2 linked regions of the Lepisosteus oculatus genome follow. The protein of the gene in region 1 purifies or fractionates together with the protein of each later gene. This does not show direct contact. Links are inferred from orthologs where the notes say so. Each region holds a gene or a part of one and is shown on either strand. Other genes may lie near its edges.

What was found.
Region 2: the proteins of pip4k2aa (region 1) and ahcyl1 purify together in Homo sapiens (co-immunoprecipitation; 3 studies listed by BioGRID and IntAct, counting the BioPlex papers as one, with this or other methods). This does not show direct contact. The link is inferred for Lepisosteus oculatus from reciprocal best matches to the Homo sapiens genes PIP4K2A and AHCYL1.

The regions. Positions count from the first base shown.
Region 1 is NC_090701.1:17,340,673-17,351,293, forward strand, and holds the start of pip4k2aa (phosphatidylinositol 5-phosphate 4-kinase type-2 alpha), read left to right. Parts: upstream 1-5,265; 5' UTR 5,266-5,903; coding exon 5,904-6,044; intron 6,045-10,621. UniProt on the Homo sapiens protein: Catalyzes the phosphorylation of phosphatidylinositol 5-phosphate (PtdIns5P) on the fourth hydroxyl of the myo-inositol ring, to form phosphatidylinositol 4,5-bisphosphate (PtdIns(4,5)P2). Has both ATP- and GTP-dependent kinase activities.
Region 2 is NC_090700.1:39,786,735-39,797,560, forward strand, and holds the start of ahcyl1 (S-adenosylhomocysteine hydrolase-like protein 1), read right to left. Parts: upstream 4,322-10,826; 5' UTR 3,524-4,321; coding exon 3,350-3,523; intron 1-3,349. UniProt on the Homo sapiens protein: Multifaceted cellular regulator which coordinates several essential cellular functions including regulation of epithelial HCO3(-) and fluid secretion, mRNA processing and DNA replication.

The DNA of each region.
Region 1 (10,621 bases):
AGCCACAGTGATAATGAAATGTACTATTCCACCAGCCCATGGTACTGATATTAAACGCATTTTTTTTGTGATTTATTCTTCATCTGATATACATGGAATGAAACCAGTTATGAGCATTTAAAAGTAAAAAAATGTATTGTAAATCTGTATCTACTGTACATTCTCATTCACAACTAGTTGTAATTAAGCTTTAAGAGATAGTGTTGTGATTCATAGTACCTAGAAACAAGCTTTACAATTAAAAATAAGAGATGAATGTCAGCTGATGCACAAAAGAAATTAAACACTCACACCTAGTCGATTATATCTCTATATTTAACAGCTAAAAAAATACATAGAAAAGTAGAACCAAAATGCAGTCAAGAGAATCATTATAATCTTCAATATGATGCATGGCACACTGGTAAAGAGAAATCATGGTGAATTTAGTCATTTGCAATCCACACAATCCAGGTTTGAGGCATGTATCCAATCACCCTCTGCGTAGACAGTTATGGGATGGACCAGCAGTGGGATAGTGGACCAGTAGCAGTCTCCTGTCGATGGAATTGGCACATAAGTCTCACAGATGCTCTACTGGACTCTGATCATGATAAAAATCTGGACATGGAAAGACCTTATGAGTGTACCATTGTACTACTGGATAATCATCACTTCTGGGCTGGCTCACGATGTTAATTGTAAATAATCTTATACTGTATGTGTCCAATGAAGTACTGGTGGAAAACGTAGACTTTTGTATTTCCATTGTCCACCAGTATATCACACCAAATTTACCCACAGCACTATTTTTCAAAGGTACTGTGAAAATTTCAGTAGACATATGTACAAAACCAGATTCCTGAATGTGTTTACCTGTAGGTTATATCACTCATACTACACTTGTTGTACTGTAACTACTGAAGAGAATGTTCACGCTCGTAGAGTACATACACTTGCTGTACAACGTTCGTTGTAACTACTTAAGAGAGCTTTAGTGCCTGTACATACACAGAGATTTAATAAATTATTGATATGCATTTTAAAACTGTACTAGTACTAGTAGACCTGTGTACCAGAGTATGACAAAACTGTGCATTCTGTGATGCATGTCCTTTTATGATGTACTGTAGTATGCATTGATAAATAGTCTGTTTTATAGTAAATGCCCCCATAATAAGCATATAGTTTCTACTATGTATATTAGCTGTTGTATTGGATTATACCACCTTTTAGGTGTTTTTACTATATTCATTTACCACATTGTCCATTAATTTAATAACTTTTAATTAATTTTGTGCTTTTCATACAAATAAAAACAAACTTCTCAGTCATATAGCCTGATAGTCATTGAACGTCTTTCTTAGTCTGTGCTGCAGGCAGAGTTTATGCTAAGGTTTCGCTTGTTGTCTTACATGGATGTTCTTATTAAAGGACAGTCCTTGGGTGTCAAGACTGTCTTCAGGGTGAGAGATGAACAAGCAGAACAGGCTTTCCTTCAGTATTTACTTTTTAGAGTTGCTTCCCTATAAGACCTGGAGCAGTTATATGTTACTTGTGGCACCTGTGCATGATTTTCATATAACAGTGACAGAATTATGTACTGTACCTCCTATTTTTGCATCTTTGTTACAGTGGAGGCATGGGATATGTAAACATTTGCAAATTGATGACATAGTATAGGAGTGTTTGTATTGCTCAGTTTCAGAAAGAGCATACAGGAAATGGATTCTTACAGACAACATCAGTGCGAGATCTCTTCCACTCTGCATTTCTCTCTCTCAAGGCTGAATGCACCGAGATATACAGTAGCATCGGTTAGGATTTAAAGATATAAACTAATCATCATGTCCCTCTTTTATCAGTACCATGTTCAAACTAGGCAAAAATTTAAGTATATAAAAAATAAAGGGTGAAATCTACACCTTATGAAATGTTTCAGAGTAACTTTTCTCTTCTTGTGTATTGTAGTTTTTTTTAAACTTATTAAAAAGTAGAAGAATTTTTGTTATTGCTCTCCAACAATTTAAAACCAGGTAAAACGTAGTATGTTAAATAAATGGTCATGTTCAATAATGTGATGGCAGGGTAATATAGTGGTTAGTATTGCTGCCTCATAGCGCTGGGGCCCTGGGTTCAATTCTGGACCCGGGGTGCTGTCTGCATGGAGTTTGTATGTTCTTCCCATGCTTACATGGGTTTCCTCCCACAGTCTAAAGACACTGTACTGGTACAGTAGGTTAATTGGCTTCTAGGAAAATTGGCCCTGGTGTGAGTGTATGCTTGTGTCTGTGTGCCCCCTGCGATGGACTGGTGTCCCATCCAGGGTGTATCCCATCTTGTGCCTGTTGCTTGCCGGGATAGGCTCTGGCGCCTCCACGGCGCTGAATTGGATAAAGCAGTTAGAAAGTGGCTCAATAATGACTAAACCAGTGTTCCAAGATATTTCCATACGTTGTGTTAGATTCGGCTTCTTCTTCAGAATGTAATTCCATCAACGATGGCAAGCCCTCTCGGTCCTGAGGCACTGAGATGGCTGGGATGGCTGGGTCCTGAGGCCACGCTTGATGGCTGGGATGAGGTTATCTTATTTGAAGGCAATGTTTGGTTTTGCTGCACAAAACATTTCTCACTGTGGCCACCTTTGACTCTTCCATCCAGACAGTCCATTCCTGTCTAGAGTCGACAGTGCCCTAGTCCACTACCCCTACACAGTGTCACCAGGTCAGCATTTTTAACCTTTAAAGGTTGGTTTGTCTCCGATGGAGAGCTGCAAGCAATCTTTAGCAATGTCTGAGTCAAAGGTCTGAGAGGAAAAGTAGTGTTGTCACCACTTCAAAGGGAAAATGGTAGAATGTTCATTACTGAGGGAGGGCAGCATATAAAATATATAGAATGATGACAAATTGTGATAAGAGATTTGAGTTTAGGTCTGAATCAGGTCTTTGGTTAAATTAATTAATTTGTCTTAAACTAGACCAAAGTGTAAACTATACCTATATTTGTGTGGCTGCTACCCAGCACCCTGCTGCCCTTTGACAGTGATCTTATTCAAATACTTCAGTTGAAAGGTTAGAGACCATCATGTGTCAGTCATGTTTTATTATATGTACTGTATATATGATACACAATTGGGGGATTAAACACACAAGATACTTCAACAGATCATTGACAACCTTTCCCTAGATTTTTTTTTTTGTAAATAAAGATGTATTTTTGGAGTCCTGTACCATCAATAGTTATCAAAGCTAGTATTCACTATACTGAAATAAAGACAATTTTACATTAAATACTGCCTGAAGGAGTCACAAATATAAAAAACTGCGAACATGGAAAAATAAACCCTTCTCTTTATTTCTTTTGAAAGCCTTGTCCTTCTTTGCAACCTCTTACCATGAAATGGGCACTGGTTAGAGAAGCCCCGTAGCAGTGTTGCTCAGTTATAGAGTGTAGCCTAACCACAGCAATTGGTCAGGCAGATCATTTCCTCTTTCTTTAACTGGTTACTTCACCATTTTACTTTTCACCTTATTTCAGAACTCGCAAATTCAACAACTGAGGAATGCTATTCTGTGCTTTCCCTCAATCTATTTGTGTATAAAGCCACACTTCTTGTTTTCTACATTGCGATACTTTAGTTGACTGTTGATTTGTGTTGCCTTCTTCAAATCCACTGTGCCTAACTGGTGTTGTGGTATTTTCAGTGACACTTTAAAAGGAATTACTAAATGGCTACTACTGTAGATTGTATGCAGTTTGATTGAAACATGAATACATGTTTAATGCATTTTAGATTTCATTGTTTTACTAATGACTTTTAAAGAAAGTCAAGAATAACTAAACAGGCTACCATAATGTAATGATATTTAAAGTACCATTTCGTACTTCTTATAAAGTAAGAGGCAGTTTTATTTGCAGGGATTCTGGAAGTTTAAAAAGACTAAATATCTTATCATAATGCCATCCTCTTATGTAAAGGTATTTGGGTCTTTAACCATTGAAAGATATATTTTATTATTTTGTGTTTGTCACATGGACTAACTATTAAACTATTGAAACCACAGATTTCTACAGTGAATCGTAAGTTTGTTTCCATACATTGGGCCCAATGATGATTAATCACGATTGCTGTCTTTTCTCTCTGTGTGAGTTAGGGGGATGTTTATCAACAATGATAAGTTACTGCACACAATTTAAAGAAGATATACAATCCCTCATGTGTAACTATTCTTAATGACAAATATCAATCAAATATTTCAAACAAAACAAAACACTATTAACTGCACTTCCAGTCAAATCACCATTTGTATTTAGAACACATTCCGTTGTTCTTGTGCAAATTTAATTGTTAATATCATTTTAGATTGTTTCATCTCGGTAATCAGACAACAATATAAATGTAATCCAACTTCAGCACTTTCGTTTAGTATTAATTTAATTAAATACAGATGTAAATTATTATTAGGTTAAGTGTCAGTACTAACCATAAACACTACAGTGTTGCTCTCATACAGTACTCTTGGACACAAAACTGTAGCAAAAGTAGAACAACAGAAACCACTGCAAACAGGTACTGTAAATGTGGAACAAATGTTGCTGTTGTTGTTGTTGCAAATACAAATAAAGCAGCTGTTTACATTCCTAACACCGTTTAAAAATACTAGTCTGACCCTTTGTATTTATATTAGACATCGGATTCGTACAGTATAATCAGCCACAGGTTTTGTGATGAAGAATTAGTTCTGTATGCATCTTTCGTGAGTCAGCTGTCTACCGTCTTCTCCCTTAAGCTTTGTAGCTTTGGTTTGTGATTGGTGAAATCAGACAGTTCATCATTGAACACCTACGCTTTTGTATCACTTTGTAATACAAAATATTTTTTTGTTTTAAGTGCCCCCCTGCGTAATTAAATTGTTTAATTTCGAGTCTTAAAGAATGTTCACGTCCCATATATAAATAATACATGATAACTAGAATAAAAAAAAGTTCGGCATTCGTCTTGTGTACACTTATGAAATACCTATAAAGTAATTAAATAATTATCTAAGTCACGTCTGCCCAAGTAGAGGCGTGAATAAATGGAAAATGACAATTAAAGACGAAAAGTATACTTGAGTGCGGTTGGCTTTTTTTAAACTTTATTCCTAGTTTTATAGTTATGGTTGAGAACGAAACGGTAAAGGCAGCAAAATACCGTTACAACGTTTTTATTTTCTTACCTACCGCCGCTGTTTTCTACGCTAGAAAACGTCAACCGCATTAATAATCGGTCTGCATGCTGTAGCGCCGGCCTCCGCCTCCCTGGGCTGTCAGTCACCAGAGCAGCACCCGGCCGGAAGCGCTGGGACAGAGGCTGCTTATTTTAAACCTACAAATTCAAAATTGTAACACGGTTGCAATGCGGATATTTTTATTTTAGGACGTCCATCATTTGCCAGCAGCGGTTTTTGGAGGAAACGAGCAGTGCAAAAGGAAGAGGGAAAGTGTTTGCTTTAGTGCAGGACTGGTACGCAGTGGGGAGAGCACAGAGGACTGAGAGCATTGGTTTATTGAGCTGTGTATGTTGCATGAAATCTCAGTTTTTTTTTGTTTTATTTGAAGACGTATTTTAATTCTGGGTATCAAACGCGCTCGTCAATAAAGTATTCACAGGGGAATGTTGGAGTGAAGCAAGGTGGGGAGGGTTATTTTTAAGGGGAGCTGCTGTTTTAGGTTAGATATGCCGATAACTAAATGGTAAGGAGCTTATTCTGCAGCTGCATTAAAAATAAAAGGAGAATAGGCTCTTGACATCTTAAGAAGAACCAAGACAGGAGGCGCAGCATAAGTGTACATACTTTTTTCTCGGTCTGTTCTGTTGTTAAAGAGACCGACCCTGAATTTGAACGTGAGCTGTCATTATTAGGCAAAATTAAGTGTAAAACATGGCTACAGTCAGTGGCATTGCCTCATCAATTGCGAGTAAAACGAAGACGAAGAAGAAACATTTTGTTGCTCAGAAAGTCAAGCTGTTCCGTGCCAGCGACCCTCTGCTGAGCGTCCTGATGTGGGGAGTTAACCATTCTGTGAGTAAACGATTTCAAATATTACGTCTTGTTTTTTTACTTGCGTGGTTTCTGGCGACCTTCAGGTGCCGCTGATCAAACTTAATGCGCTAAACTGCCTGGGTAGTGAAAAATGCACCCACTATCCGCATTTAATCAAAATAATACGTGATACAGTACTGTAAAAAGAGAGCTTTCTCCTAACACTGTTTTGTAACGTATTTGCATGTTGCCCGCACCCCCTTTGAAAAGCGTGTGATTGCTTAGCGAAGCTGAGCGAATGCATTGACTCCTGACGTAATATTAAATGATCAAAACGTCTTGGACTTTTTTTTTTATTTTTGAGTTGTGCCCAAATCGCAATTGAACTCGGAAGTCAAGCTCGCTCGCTCGCTCGTTCGCTCTCTCTCTCTCTTTTTAACTGTCATGAATTAAACTGTTTTCCAAGGGAGTGTGGCAATCTTTAAATGTCTGGAAGGTGGGGATGTTGTGCTGACTGCCGCCGCCGCTGTTGCTGTGAGAGTTGTCGTGGTTGGCCGGGGAACCTGGTGGTTTGCTCACCGCGGAGACGGTGTCCGGGTGCGCCGCGTCTACTACGTAGCGTGTGCGTGTGTGTAACGAGCCGGAGGGGAGCGTAAGTTGGGTTTGTAAGAAAAGCATCCGGTCCCGTCAGTCCCGAAGCTCGTCCCGGGCGGAAAGTTGTGGAGGTCCCCCGACTTGCAAGTGAAAACCGGACGTTACACACGGTGCATGCGGGTGGCTCTGCAGGGGGCATTTTTGTATAGATTGGGGGTGGGAATCGGAAAGATGTTTTTTTCAAAATTGTCAAACGATGGCAAATCTCGTCTCGCAATCGGCATTTGGATACTGTAGTTTGGTCACAGTGTTGGTGTTGGGAGCACTCATCAACTACATCAGTTGTAAATTGCAAAATCAATAGAATTCCTAACTGACAGCTTGTGCAATACCTGCATAACACCACACACTGGTATCGATAAACATGCTTTCCAAAGCGCTGTGGATCCGGGACATCATCATTGTTGTCGTAATTAATAATATTGTGTTCTGTGTAAGTTAAACAGACGGTAAAAGATACATATTCCTCACATTGCCCTATGGGAATCTAACAGACAAGCACTTGGAAAGCCTTGCCTTCGCCTGTCCGTACAGTTGTATCAGTTAAGAGAAATGTGCTTGCCGAGTGCACTTAACTATTATTTCACGGCTTTTTTACTCCCTTTCTCACACTAAAACGACTTATCGGCTATTTCCTTTTGAGTGATATTTCAACAACTCCAACTTCCCTTAAAAGCCAAGTTGCTGCTAGACCTGATGCATATCTACTGTAAATCCCACTTCTCTCCAGCCCGAGTAACCGAGAATGGTGCACCAATCCGGAACGTTACTCATACACACACCCCCGGTCCTGTTGAGTAAATGTTGAGTAACGTTTCTGAGACCAAAACTAACCTCGATGGCCTAAATGAATGTAATTACTGTAGTTGAAGACTTAATGACTGCGTTGATTATAAAAACTCTTGACTGACCACCCTTCATAAACTAGGAGTGCGTATTACTGCATTAGGGCAACAGGTGGTACAGAAGTCCCTTTAAAGACTCCTACTGTAGGTGTTTGCTTTCCTTGGGAGTCTTAATTCTCTCTTCATGTAAAACCTTCGCTTCTGTCTGCAATGGGGCAACCCCGACCAAAAAGTTCCTTAGTATGGTCTTCACTGCTTTAGCAAATTAAATTCTGTTAACATACCGTACTTCACTTCAACAAAACGTCAGATACCCAGACAAAAGTAAAGATTGGTTTCCAATACCACACAGGGATATGTAGTTCTGATTTGTGGATTGCTTTTAATGTATGACATGGTTTTAGGATAAAAAGATTCAGGGCTTTTAAAAGTGGTCTACATTGTTTCCCCTACACTATACAGCAGGGGGGAGATAATTTCCAATGACATGCTGATTTATGTTAGTTATCTTGATAAAAGATTGCAATTCTGGTAATTTCAGTCAGTAAGTGGAGCTTGTAACTGCTCTGCTCTGATGGAGACCAGTTTCTATAAGAAGTAGTTGCGAGGTTAACATTCATGATGTATTCTGAAGATAAGGATGAATTACAGCCATTAAAGTCAAGGGAAACTCTGAGTTAAAATAATAACACAGAACATTGGGATATTAATTCAGTGGAATCATTACACAATAGTTGTGATAAATGCCAAACAAGTGAAATATGCAAATGGAGATCGAAGTTCTATGACTTGATGTTACTTTTTTCGATCAATGTGGGATGACCTGAATTTTAACCAGTAATCGTAGTATTTGAAAAATATATATTTTTCTTTTACTCTCTTTTGTACTAATGTAGTGCAGAGTGTTCCAGTATTAAACTCATCGTCTTTAGCAGGCTCACCATTAGTATGATGTGGTGATTTGCGAACTGTGCACCTGTGATTAACTTCTGACAGTTTGCATTTGCGATTAGCAAATGTCCCAGCTTTCATCCAGACAAGGGGATTAAACTGCTTTATCTAGCATTTAGACATCAGGTGGGCGAACTGCTGTAAGCTGCTTTAGTCCCGGCTCAAATCAAACGTACATATTGGGGTTTTTTTCTATGTCTACTGCTGATTTGAAGTCTGCATTTTGACTTATTTACACCTACTGTAACTGAGCAAAACTTGTCAACACTTTAGTCATTGGTAACAAATGGCATTAGCTTTAGTTGATGAGATTGCACTGTCTGTTCAGGATTCCTAGGTCCGGCAAAGAGCTTTTGGCAGCCTGTGGTTATTTCCTCCCCAGCAGAGTTCTGTACTACTCAGAAGAAGGAAGAGCGGAACAAAGAGACAATGTTTGGGAAAAGAAGTGGAGATTCTTTTTTGGAATGATCATGTGTGGTCATGTCATATTATCCCACATTTGCTTTAAAAAAAAGTAAAGGCTATTTACCACTTGTTACAGAAATAATAATTTCTTACACTTCTATAGCTTTTCTGGACTCCACTCACAGCACTTTACAGGTAATTGGGACTCCCCTCCATCACCACTACCAATGTGTAGCTCCACCTGGATGATGGCAGCCATATTGCACCAGTGTGCTCACATCAGCTATCAGTGGGGAGGAGAACAGAGTGCTGAAGCAAATTCACAGATGGGGATTATTAGGAGGCCATGATTGGTAAAGGCCAGGTTGAAATTTGGCCAGGACACTAGGGATTTTTAATGACCACAGAGAGATTTACATCTCATCTTGTAAATAGGATGGTGCCTTTTTTGCAGTGTTGTGTCCCTATTACTATACTGGGGCATTAGGACCCACACAGGCTACAGGATGAGTGCCCCCTACTGGTCCCCCCTAAAACCTTTTCCAGCAGAAATCAGACCCATGAGGTCTCCCAGATACTGGCTAGACTCACACCTGCTTAGCTTCAGTGGGTTGGCAGTTGAGAGATGCAGGATGATGTAGCTTCTGACTGTATCCTATACAGTAAAATACACTAATACCAAACCATTATAACAGTATATTCCTCTTCTGAAAAGAAATAATTCAGAATCATCTTCCATATCTGGCAAAAGCAGGACTGGTGTGGAGGAAGATAAGTGAAGGGCTTGATACTGTATGTGGACACTTTTTAAAAATGACTTCCTTTATACACGCAGGTCAATGGAAATATGTTTTTACAAAAAGGGAAAGTGCTCTGCTTGTAAAGGAGGCAGATGATGGAAGAAACATTATGAATGCGTTTTATGCAGGCTTCAACACAAAAGCGAAAGGCCTTTTCTCCAACTAAAAATTGTGAAAGAAACGATAAGCACTAAATGCACAGGACATTGTTTGCTGCCTTAATGCTTAAAGAGCTCCTTATTGGATTTCTGTTTAGAGCTTTGCGATTTTGATGGCACTTAAACTCCTCTTGTACCTTATTGACCCAGGCTATTGCTCTCTAAACAGTGGTGACAGAACCCAAACATTTGCACACACTCTCAACACCACCCTCCATGTTCAGATGCACCACACCCTCCTGTTTCTTTTGAGCAGGGCGACACTGCTCGAAGATTGTGAACACCACAGCTGCCAGTAAGTGTCAATCCGTTCTGGCCCTCACTCTGCCTCTCCACCCCAGAAATGAATTTGTCCACATTTCTGAGCCTTATTGTGTCATAGCCTTCAGGTACAAATGCATTAAACTTGCTTGAAGAGATGCAAAGGCATACCTTCACTCGACTGTAGTTGTACACTTCTGGTAGTTCTCTGAATTTGTAGATTACTTTTTACCCCCTTACAGATATGCTTGTATCTGCAGTCAGATCTTTCGGAAGCCCAGAGATCCGCCTACTTCCTGTTGCGTCATCGATTAGGTGTTACTTTTTACAGTAGACTTCAGTAAGTGATTACATGTCTCAAGCAGAAATTTTACAAATCCTCCACTGCTTCTTCAGCACATGCATACCAGTTATGTGAACCTCTGGTTATAGGCATGGCTCCTTGCCATCATTTCTGGAAAGGACCATTTGTAGTTAAGATGGATGAGCAAAAGTTGATACTGACAATAGGCCTCTCATTAAAGAAATATACAACCAGTGTT
Region 2 (10,826 bases), on another chromosome or scaffold:
TGTCCCTGAGAACTACAGCTGTAAGTGGAGTCCTGCGTCATTCCCTGTGTCCTTGAGATTGATGACACACACACAGACCCACAGAAACCAGCACACATGCAGATACACACAGACACACAGAAAGCAGCACACATAAGATCAGATAGCCAAATACAATTTCTTGCATTAGGAATTTGTCTTTTTGCTTGCTATCCATCAAACACACAGGTACACAGACAGTTAGAAGCCTGGGGTCAGAGTGCAGGGTCAGCCATTTATATGGCGCACCTGGAGCAGGTGGGGTTAAGGGCCTTGCTCAGGGGCCCAACGGAGTAGAATTCCTCTGCCAGCCGTGGGATTGGAAACAGACACACACATAAAGACACACACACAGAGAGCTGCACACATGCAGACACACACACAGAGCTGCACACACGCAGACACACAGAGAGCTGCACACATGCTGAATCACACACAGACATACAGAGCAGCACACATGTGGTCACCCACAGACCAGTACCAGAGCCTGTGCCATTGTGATCAGAGCAGTAAAAGGAACACAACTCTTCTCAGCACGCCTTTGACAAGTAAAGGCTGTAAGAGGGTCTCCTGGACCAAACGACTTGGCAAGCCTGATCGTGAGGACCTCTCACCTGCCCTCGCCACCCAGCCCACGGACAGTGGAGTTAGGAGAATTGCAACACACTGGCTCCGCTTTGAGACAGCGAGCTGGGGCGAGCGAGCCAGGGGAGAGACGGCACAATGCCGCTCTTTGTGCGGGAGCACCCAGCGCAGAGGTGGATGGTTTCCCAGCGGATGAGACGGGGGAACAAAGCTGAGGCTAGACAATGGAACCACACAAGGCCGTGTCCGCAAAGCACTCGCTGCTTGGATAAGCCCAGGCACCACTCTGGGTGAGGCTGCAGTAACACACCTGAGCTCACACACCTCCCTCTAGCCAGAATGAGCAAGTCGCTTATTCACGTTAAGGATGGGGGCAAACTGGAGTCTGTCCCTGGCACAACAAGGCACAACCCTGGACTGGATGCAGATCCACCAGTGGGCATGCACGCACACACCGCACATACACACACACCTTAGAGACCATAATTAAGCTGGATAGCATGCTTTTGTAAAGTGGGAGGAAACAGGTGAAAACCCATGCAAGCCACTTATGCGACATGCATAAGTGCAACATGCAAACTCCACATAGAAGGGTCTCCACTCTGTAAGCCAGCTCAGGGGTCTGTGGATCTGCTGGGGCTAACCACCACGTCACCATGTCACTTCCTCGCCGGGCTCTCCCGGGTGCTTGTTTATTTAGACAAAGCGATGGGGGAAGCTCATTAACTCTGTCCTCTTGGACTTTCTGTCTCAGCTACCAGTGAAACTGCACACCAGCTCCTGCGTTCAACACTGTACAAACACGAGGCCTACAGGCGGATCAATGAAGAGCGAAGCCACAGCTAGCAATCTCCCCACTCCTCAAGAAAGACGTGCCGAAACATTTAAAAGTCACATCCAGTCACAGCTAGAATGCACAATGATTCTGACACTCTCAACTCGCTGGAGGAGCAGTCAAACTCCCTGCGGGCCGTTTAAATCCAAAGGAAACACCGTGAGCGTTCAGCACATACCCTTGACCTTTGGAACCACACACACACGAACACACAAGCAGCGCCACAGACCTCACCCTCTTCACCCAACAAACTCAACACTCCGGACAGCGTGACGGCAGCAGACTTCCGCAAGGCTCTGCAGGGCACAGCCCAGCACACGGCCCACAGGAGGGCTCGTTTCAATGCCCCGTGACAGGGCAGAAAATCGCAGCCTGCCTTCATGCCACCCAGACCGCGCCGGTCTCTGTTGAGACACGCAACACACCCGCCACAAGACTCTTTTATTACGTTGACCAAATCCAATGATCAAAAACAGTAATTAAAGAACTTTATTCACAAAAAGTAAGCTATTCAATTTGTGGTTTCGCCTGCCATGACGTTACATCATTGTTCTTCCAAACAATGATACAAGGAACCAGTGACTAAAGCAGGCCTGGCCCCGTTGCAGACAGGGCACGCACAGAAACCACCGGGGCTCCTGCAGATCGTGGCACTGCGGCTCACAGGCCACACACAGCGCTGGCGAGAGAACTGACGCCCTTCCAACCATCCACAGCACTGGGCAATTCCCATCCAGAGATCCTCAGACCAGTCCGGACGACAACACTGCCTCATGTATTTCACATACCGCAGGTGCTCGGCAGGAGATCCATGTCAGTGGCATTACAAAGAATCAATTCTGAAATAGATGCAGATGCGTGTGAACAGGCCTGGGGCTAAATAACCACCCTGTGTAATTGTTCTTGACGGAAACAGGTTCACACTGAAAACGTGGGCATGAAGTGTGCATCTGTGGCAAGCCCTAATTTGGCCTGTCTGATTACAAGCACTTTAACTGAGTTTAATTACACACCCGAGAGTGTTACAGAGGCATGTCATAGTACCACCTTCAAAGAAAGCTGCCTACCAGCAGAATAGAAGACCAAAAACTATACACTACACTTTGTATAATTACATCTTACTGAGTGTTTTTCGCTGCGTTTTTTTTTTTTTTTGGGGGGGGGGGGGGTATTAAGAACGTGTGAACCTCTTAAATTCTGAAATGTCAGCTGGTAATGCCACACAATTAGGTATGATCCCTACTGAGATTCTTAAAGAACTAATTCAGCCAACGAACTCCTTTCTCGGCACAGCCCGGCCAACACGTTTCAAAACAGTAATGTCAATGTCTCTAGCGGTTATACGCCATATATAGGAAGAGGCCCGCGAATTATTTCCTGTCAAATTCATCTGTCATCTACAGGCAACCAATTTAAGTACGTAAATAAAGAACATGTTTCCCTTTCACTGGGTACTAAGCAGGCAAGGCTAAAGAAACGACTAATCGCGAAACCCACCGCCGGGTGAACTACAGCAATCGATAGAAATGACACTGCGGGCTGACTTCGCGATCTCAACTAATCAATGCGCTTTACCTGTTATCATGATACTACACGACGCATGTACTCTGGCTCACACAAAAGTGCTTATCCTTATTACTGGCAGAACGGTGCCTTCTACTGTGGCTGTTGTAACACTACAAAATAAATAAAACATGTCGAGTTAGGTCCTCGTCTTTGATGTCATTAACAAGAGCAACAGAGATCCAGCCGAGTCGCACAGGACAGACAGACCGCACGCGTTTGTCCGGGACTGCGGGCTCACAACTCCGGCGTCACCGGCTGCAACTACAGCTGCAGCTACATGCGTGAACCCCGTTTTTAATCCAGCCCCCACTCCCGGGGGGAACACGGAGCACAGACGGGTCTCACCTTTTTGACAGGTTTGTGCGAGGTGACGGCGCTGAAGGCGGAGGACAGGTCGCCCATGTCGCTGGTCTTGCCCACGGTCATCGCCGAGTATTTCTCCGCCACATTCTCGCTCTCTTTCACTTCTTTGCTGGCCTGCTTCATCTCCAACTTCCCGTCGCCCGCGGAGTCCGACATTGTACGCTAGTTGGATCTTACTACTGTACTACAGTGAAGAGTAGCGCCAGGTCTGTCTCTGCTGAGGCTCAGATTACTGCCTTCGGAACTGACACCTCTTCTCTGCGGGCAGGAGAGGCGGTCCGGCTCTACTACCGCAAAAGCGCATACGTTCTTGTAATTGTGGAAGGATGTAAATGCACTTGTGTGATTTTTGGTCTTTTTTTTTAATAATTACTGCTGTCGTCACTGCAGCCTTGACTTTGCCTTTCCTCCGACGCGCAGCTACGCAACACCAACCGGCTGCGGGCGGCGCGCGAGGAGGGCTGGAAGAGAGACTCGAGTCGAGTCGCGTCGCGCGGGCGGGGAGTATGGGAGGCGCTGGGGCTGTTAACACCGGTTCACAGAAGCTGGTGCCGGCTAGGAAACTGCGACCGTTGTTTCGCCATTGTGGCTCACACGGCGCCTTAGCAAGACTTCGTGACACTCCAGCGCCAGAGCTGTAATGGCGTCAGTTGCAGAACCATGCAATGCTCCTTGAACTTAAAAATTAAAGCAAAGACGACTGCGGTATGCGAGACATTGCGATTTTACATTGTTTTTTAAAATAAAAAGTGCACCTTCCTACAATGATACTTAAAAGCGTACCTTACTTTGCGTTTATATATGTATAGGAAGGGTACAACAATCCGTTAAACCCATGCAATTCCTTATCAATTTAAAAGCAGCAAGCTAAAGATGGATAGCCTCTGTTTCACAAAAGCAGTACTTCATTGAGCCAGAATTCAACTTTAATAAAGGTGCACACTATTCGTAACGATCAGCTAGGATCATTAAAAACATTATGAGTTTGCAAATGGACAACAGAATCTGTCTGCATTTCTTCAGGATACAAATCTGCACATGAAAGTCAATCGAACGTGTAACTGCTTTATCTTAAGCAGCGTCTACAAAATTAAACGAATGAGACGCGGTGATTGCTTAGTTTTTTTTGTATCATATTTGTATCTGAAAAAAAAAACGCTTTTCCTGTGAAACTGTTTGAAGTGTATGGTTTTGAACATAAGATCATAAAAGTTTTTTTCAGCCTTCAGAAATAGTTTATTTTATTGGTGTCTGCCTGTTCCTTGTATCTACTACATTCCAATCCTTTGTTTTTATTTGTGATAATTTTGTCTCCTTTGTCACTATAAAGCTACTTTTAAAGGCGCTGTATAAAGATGATTTTATCCTCAGTTCCAAAAATGTTTTTTTCCCAACGTGTTTTAACACTAAACTTGGTATATCTGCATTTGACGTATTTTTTTGTCATATTAAGATTGGTAGCCAATTGATTATAAACAATTGTCATGGGAACACAGCGAATTCCGCTGTCAATTTTAACCAACTGGTAATCACAATTTTACAAACCCTTTGGTTTGGGTAGGGATCTGTTTGTGTCATTGTATAAGAAGTCGGTTCTGAGAGAGTGTAAGTGCAGAGCTCCTTCACCACAAACCCAGTATCCCATTTACCGGTATTTTCTCAGCCTCGTTGCGCAGCTGTTCCTGAAATTAAAAACACCGCGGCGCCACTTAGCGAACCGAAACCGAATTATCTGAACCACCGCTAAGCACGCACCTGAGTCAGCGACTTCGGGGCAGGGGCGTAGCCACGGGTGGGCTTGAATGATCCTAGCCCTACCCAATCAGTCCAAAGTAATTTAAGATCCCCCCCCACCCCCTTGTTTGTGTTCCATGATTTGCTTTTTAATGTTACGTGTTTGATTTTTTTTCATCGTATGTGATTTGCTATTGGCTCGCTTTATCTTTTGTGACCAATAAGAAAATTATGTAAATGTAGTGCGGCGGTGCATGTGTAGCCGTAACCTAATTGTCTATCGCTGTCGTCAGACGACCAGACTATCTAGCGCTAGGTTTCTATTTATTAGCCAACATGGCAAAACAAATGCATATATTTAGGTTTTTCAAAAAGCCGCCTGTAGATGACCAGACCAGTCCCGAAACAAATAAAGACACATGAGATGCTACAGGCATCTTGGGTTTTAGGGAGAACAGCCTGGCTTCCCGAATACAAGTGTTTCTGGAACGCAAGAGCACGCGTTTGCTTGTAGCAGCTCGATACATGCTCGACCTGTAGGAGTTAAGCACGGAGAGGTTTTAAAATTTCTCCTGTAAACAAATGATAAGTTTTGGAATGAATGCCTAACATTAAGAAAATATTGACGGATGGATGCGATTGTGCATTTTACAGATAACTATTCGGATCACCTCTAAATGCCCTGCAGTATTTTTACGTGAACGACGTTTACATAGCTAAAATACATATAAAGTATGTATTTGACGCTTTTATTAGCAGACCTTTCTTGCAATTAAAGGTACGATTAATTGGTTAGCACTGTAATGCGACTATAACAATTCGGTGTTAAGTCTTGTGGGAAGTCACGAATATCCAAATTAGCTGTCTTTTGGCATCGAAAATAGAATACTAATGTGGGTTTCATACAAGTTTAAAAGCATCATGAAGGATCAAACAAGATCTTCAGAACTTAATATTTTAATAGCTTCGCAGTTTTTCTTCTCATGGCTCCTCGCTCGATATTACCCTCGGATGCATTTACTCCAACCTCTGAAACGTGTGTGCACGTTCTTCTGGTATGTTATGCTCAAGTCCGCTCAATATTTAAAGACAAGGTAAAAGCTCCGGGAAGTTGCCCCCCCTAGAGACAGCAGAAATGATGAAACCCACCTCATTCGTTAGTGCTACGTTTGTGGCGTTAAAAGTAGCGTTTGTGCTGCTTTTGTTTCCGAGATATAGCACCTTGTTTGTTTGGGGGTCGTGACGTCACTCAGCACCCCTTCAATGTCGTATGGAAACCAAACCGGTCTCATTCGTTAGTGCTACGTTTCCTGCTTTCGTTCCCGACATATAGCGCCTTGGGTTTCCGGTGATCACGTGACCATGCACGGTGACTTTGACCTCCAGTGACCCCGTTTGCCGAGTTCAAGCGCTCTTTTACAGTTTTGCTAGTACCCTTAACATTTTAATAACAATCAATATCCATAAACATATAAGTCTCCTTAGATGTGAATAATACGAAGACATGACGCATGCCAACAAGTAACCATCTATGACATAAACCTGTGGTTGTAATGTACGTAAAATCACCGTGATTGCAAGATCTATGGTTTTTATTTTGTAAGGCACATTTTCCTTTTCTTTTCCTATCGTGACACACTGTTGCCAAACGCGTAACTGTGTTTGATACCATCGCGACAAGACCTCCGCAGCACGTCATGATAGGGACCCCATGTATATCGCATGTATATCGCGGCACGGCAGTGTATATCACGACTGGTGCCTTGCTTCCATGCCACCCTGGCACCGCTGTCGCAACAAAGGTCTCATATCAGGACATGATATACCCAGATAAGATATGTCGCGATATAGACAGGGGGTCAGCAATCCTGTCAGGGTATATCCCATCGCAACATATGGACTCCATGTCGCGACATGGGGGTGGTGCATTTTGTCACGGTATGTCATATCGCGATATATGGGCTTCATGTCACAACATGGGCATGGCAGGTTTTTTAATAATAATGATAATAATAATAATAATTTTTTTACATATCACCATATATGAACTCCATGTCGCGACATGGGGGGGGGTATTTTTGCCGGGGTATGTCATATCGCGATATGCAGGCTTCATGTCGCGACATGAGGGCGTGGCATTTTTGCCGGGGTATGTCATATCGCGATATGCGGGCTTCATGTCGCGACATGAGGGCGGGGCATTTTCGCCGGGGTATGTCATATCGCGATATGCGGGCTTCATGTCGCGACATGGGGGCGGGGCATTTTTGCCAGGGTATGTCATGCAGGCTTCATGTCGTGATATGGCGGCTGCGCATTTTTGCCGGGGTATATCATATCGCGATATGCGGGCTTCATGTCGCGACATGGGGGCGGGGTCGTTTTGTCGCGGTATGTTATATCGCGATATATGGACTTAATGTGGCAACAGTGGCGCCATGACAGTGATACGCCAGTCGCAATGGGTATCGCGATGTCACTCTTATCGTGACCTGCTATCGGAGTCGTGAACGCGCTGCGGATGCCATGACATTCGTTGTCTGCTATTCAGTTTTTACCTCAGTGCGACTTCTCTTGATTGATTAGTAATTGGAAACCAATGGATGTGCTACTGTATATCCAGCGTGCTCATACAGCACACACGATTAACCGGGGCTACAGTATTTTTACCAAGAAGAACATCCATCGCCCATGTCTCTACATGTTCTCGGAACTTCCGCTGTGACTCTTTACCCAATCAGAGTGTCAGAATTCTGACTCTTCATCCAATCGCGGCCCGAGCTGTTCGGGGATTTAGCCAAATACGGGTCTGTTCGAGCTAGCAGCGCCAGGTGGATCGCTTGTTTACTGTCAATGAGAATCTATTTTTAAAATGCTTTACTTATTTACAAAATAACTACATCGGCTTATTTTTTAACTTCTTTATTGATTCACAATGTCACGTACTCTTCTAAATAAATATTTTTTTTTTATTTGCGATATAACTGTCGATGCTGCTTTCTGTAATGAATACATGATATTGGGACAATTTTAATCGTATATTTAAGGTAGGGGGAAACACCTTCTGCTTTGTACTTCAAAAATGAATAGAAATGTAAAGTCTATGATCATTATATCTCGCGACACGTCCTATCTGGGTATATCATGTCCTGATATGAGACCTTTGTTGTGACAGCGGTGCCAGGGTGGCATGGAAGCAAGGCGCCAGCCGTGATATACACTGCCGCGCCGCGATATATATGCGATATATATGGGGTCCCTATCATGACGTGCTGCGGAGGTCTTGTCACGATGGTATCAAACACAGTTACGCGTTTGGCAACAGTGTGTCACGATAGGGAAAGAAAAGGAAAATGTGCCTTACAAAATAAAAACCATAGATCTTGCAATCACGGTGATTTTACGTACATTACAACCACAGGTTTATGTCATAGATGGTTACTTGTTGGCATGCGTCATGTCTTCGTATTATTCACATCTAAGGAGACTTATATGTTTATGGATATTGAATGTTAAGGGTACGAGCTAAACTCTATCAGAGCGCTTGAACTCGGCAGACGGAGTCACTGGAGGTCAAAGTCATCGTGCATGGTCACGCGATCACAGGACGAACAAGGCGCTATACCTCGGGAACGAAAGCAGCACAAACGCTACTTTCAACGGCACAAACCGGCACAAACGTAACACTAACGAATAAGGTGGGTTTAAGCGTTTGTGCCGTCTGTATGGGGGGGGCACCTTCACGAAGCTATTTTAAATACAATATTTCAGGCGGAATTTGAATCTTGCGTTTTGTTGTCCTCATAGTGTTTTGCAGTAAAATATTAACTTCAGAGTAACTCGTAAAACTACTCAACAATCTAAAAGCAGGCACAGGAACCAAGCAACAAGTGAAAATTAGCTCATGCAGCTTTTCTTTAGCTAAAGACAAAGTCCTCATATGAGAGACCTTTGCAAACTAGCTGTCATTTGAACGGGAATTTGCCGACTCTAGAGACAGCGACGAGATTATCGCCATACTCAATTCCAAGCCCTGACGCCTGCGTCTGGTCTAGAAAGTCAAAACCTCACAACAGAAGTAGGCACTGACTGTTTGTGTGTGTCCGCCGTGACACAGTAGCGTTCGGCAGCCTAGGTAATTGTTGCTAAACCTGTGTGGTGAGAGAGAGACGGTATGTATATATAAGGTTCCGCTAATTCTGCTGTTTGATTATACCGCTCGAGGATTGCATTGTAAATTGGAGGGGTGCCCCTATGCTGGCAGGCCGGACAGTTAGAGCCCAGGGCCACCCACTTTTGCAGAGGCCCACCCAAAAATCAATTCCTGGCTACGCCCCTGCTTCAGAGTCTAATTTCTCAGTCGTGCGTGACAGCCACCATGCGGTCTCCAGCTGCGGAAGGACTACCTAACCCAAATACCACGTCTACTGTACAATGACAGACTCGTTACTCTTGAAAAACCCAGCCCAATACTGCTGTTTTAACTTTTTCATAAACGGTCAACACTTCAGTTAGGGCTTATTCCACTAGCGGACTGTTCAATTCTACACAGCACAATTCTGTTCGAACACGCCCCTTAATTCTGTAATTGATAATTGGTAGGATCAATGATAATTAAGGAACATGATGTATGAAGATTTTGAAACTGCGCACATGGCCGACGCCAGGGGAAAATCTGTAGGGGGCGGTGATATTTTGGTTGAAACGGAGCCCTTGCAACTACCCAAGTGAAATCTCGCAACCATGCCACTGATTAGTGCTTCATGATAGAAGACATGACGAACAATCTGGTATTTAGCGATGATGTACAGTTTCACGTTCATCAGCACTCTTGCGGTTACCATTGCCTGGAGTGACAAAAGACCATATGAGCTCAGTTTTGCAGCTACATCGACGGTTACGAGGTTCTGAATCGTTTAGAAAAAATAGTTGTAAAACCAACAGAAAGCACAAACTTCTACAACTACAGTCCTGGTTATATAGCGATTGTAAGTGTAAGGATAAACTCCTGCAAGAAATCGGACCCCCTGAGCAAACAAGATCGTAATGTTGACACTATGTAATATGTGCCGTTCCTGGACGGACAGCCCTCCTGCACATCATACAGTACGATGTACTAACTGTGAATTCGGGGTTAGTGTAGTTATCTGACCAACTATTTTTTAGGGCGCAAGTTAAGTAAGCGAAAGTGTACAAAAATCCGTTTGTCCACAACTGAGGGGGCGGGACAGTTCAGTTGAGGGGGCGATGCCCCCTTTTGCCCCCCCGTGGCGCTGGGTCTGACTGAGCACCAAGCAGAATATTCTTTCCTCCGGTGGTCCTCACTGCGCCAGAAGTTGCTAGTTTTCATTCCAGTTACACTTATTTCACTTAATTGAACTATGAATGTGATTGACAAGACTTGTTTTTTTCTCCCTAGAAGCTGCAGGTTTCAGACTACTTCTCCAGTTCAGCCTCTTCATCCAGTACAGATTTGCAGGGGAGCTGGAGCCAATCCCAACAACCGGCACAGGGGGGTATACCCTGCACAGGACACCAGCCCCTTGCAGGACAGACACAATCACACTTGCATCATGGATAGTTTTCCCAGAAGCCGATTGACCAACCCGTATGTATTTGGACTTTGGGAGGAAACTTAAATGCAAACACAGGGAGAACATACAAACTCCAGGTAGATTGCACCTCAGGTATGGAATTGAACCCAAGGCTCCGGCACTGCCGCCCA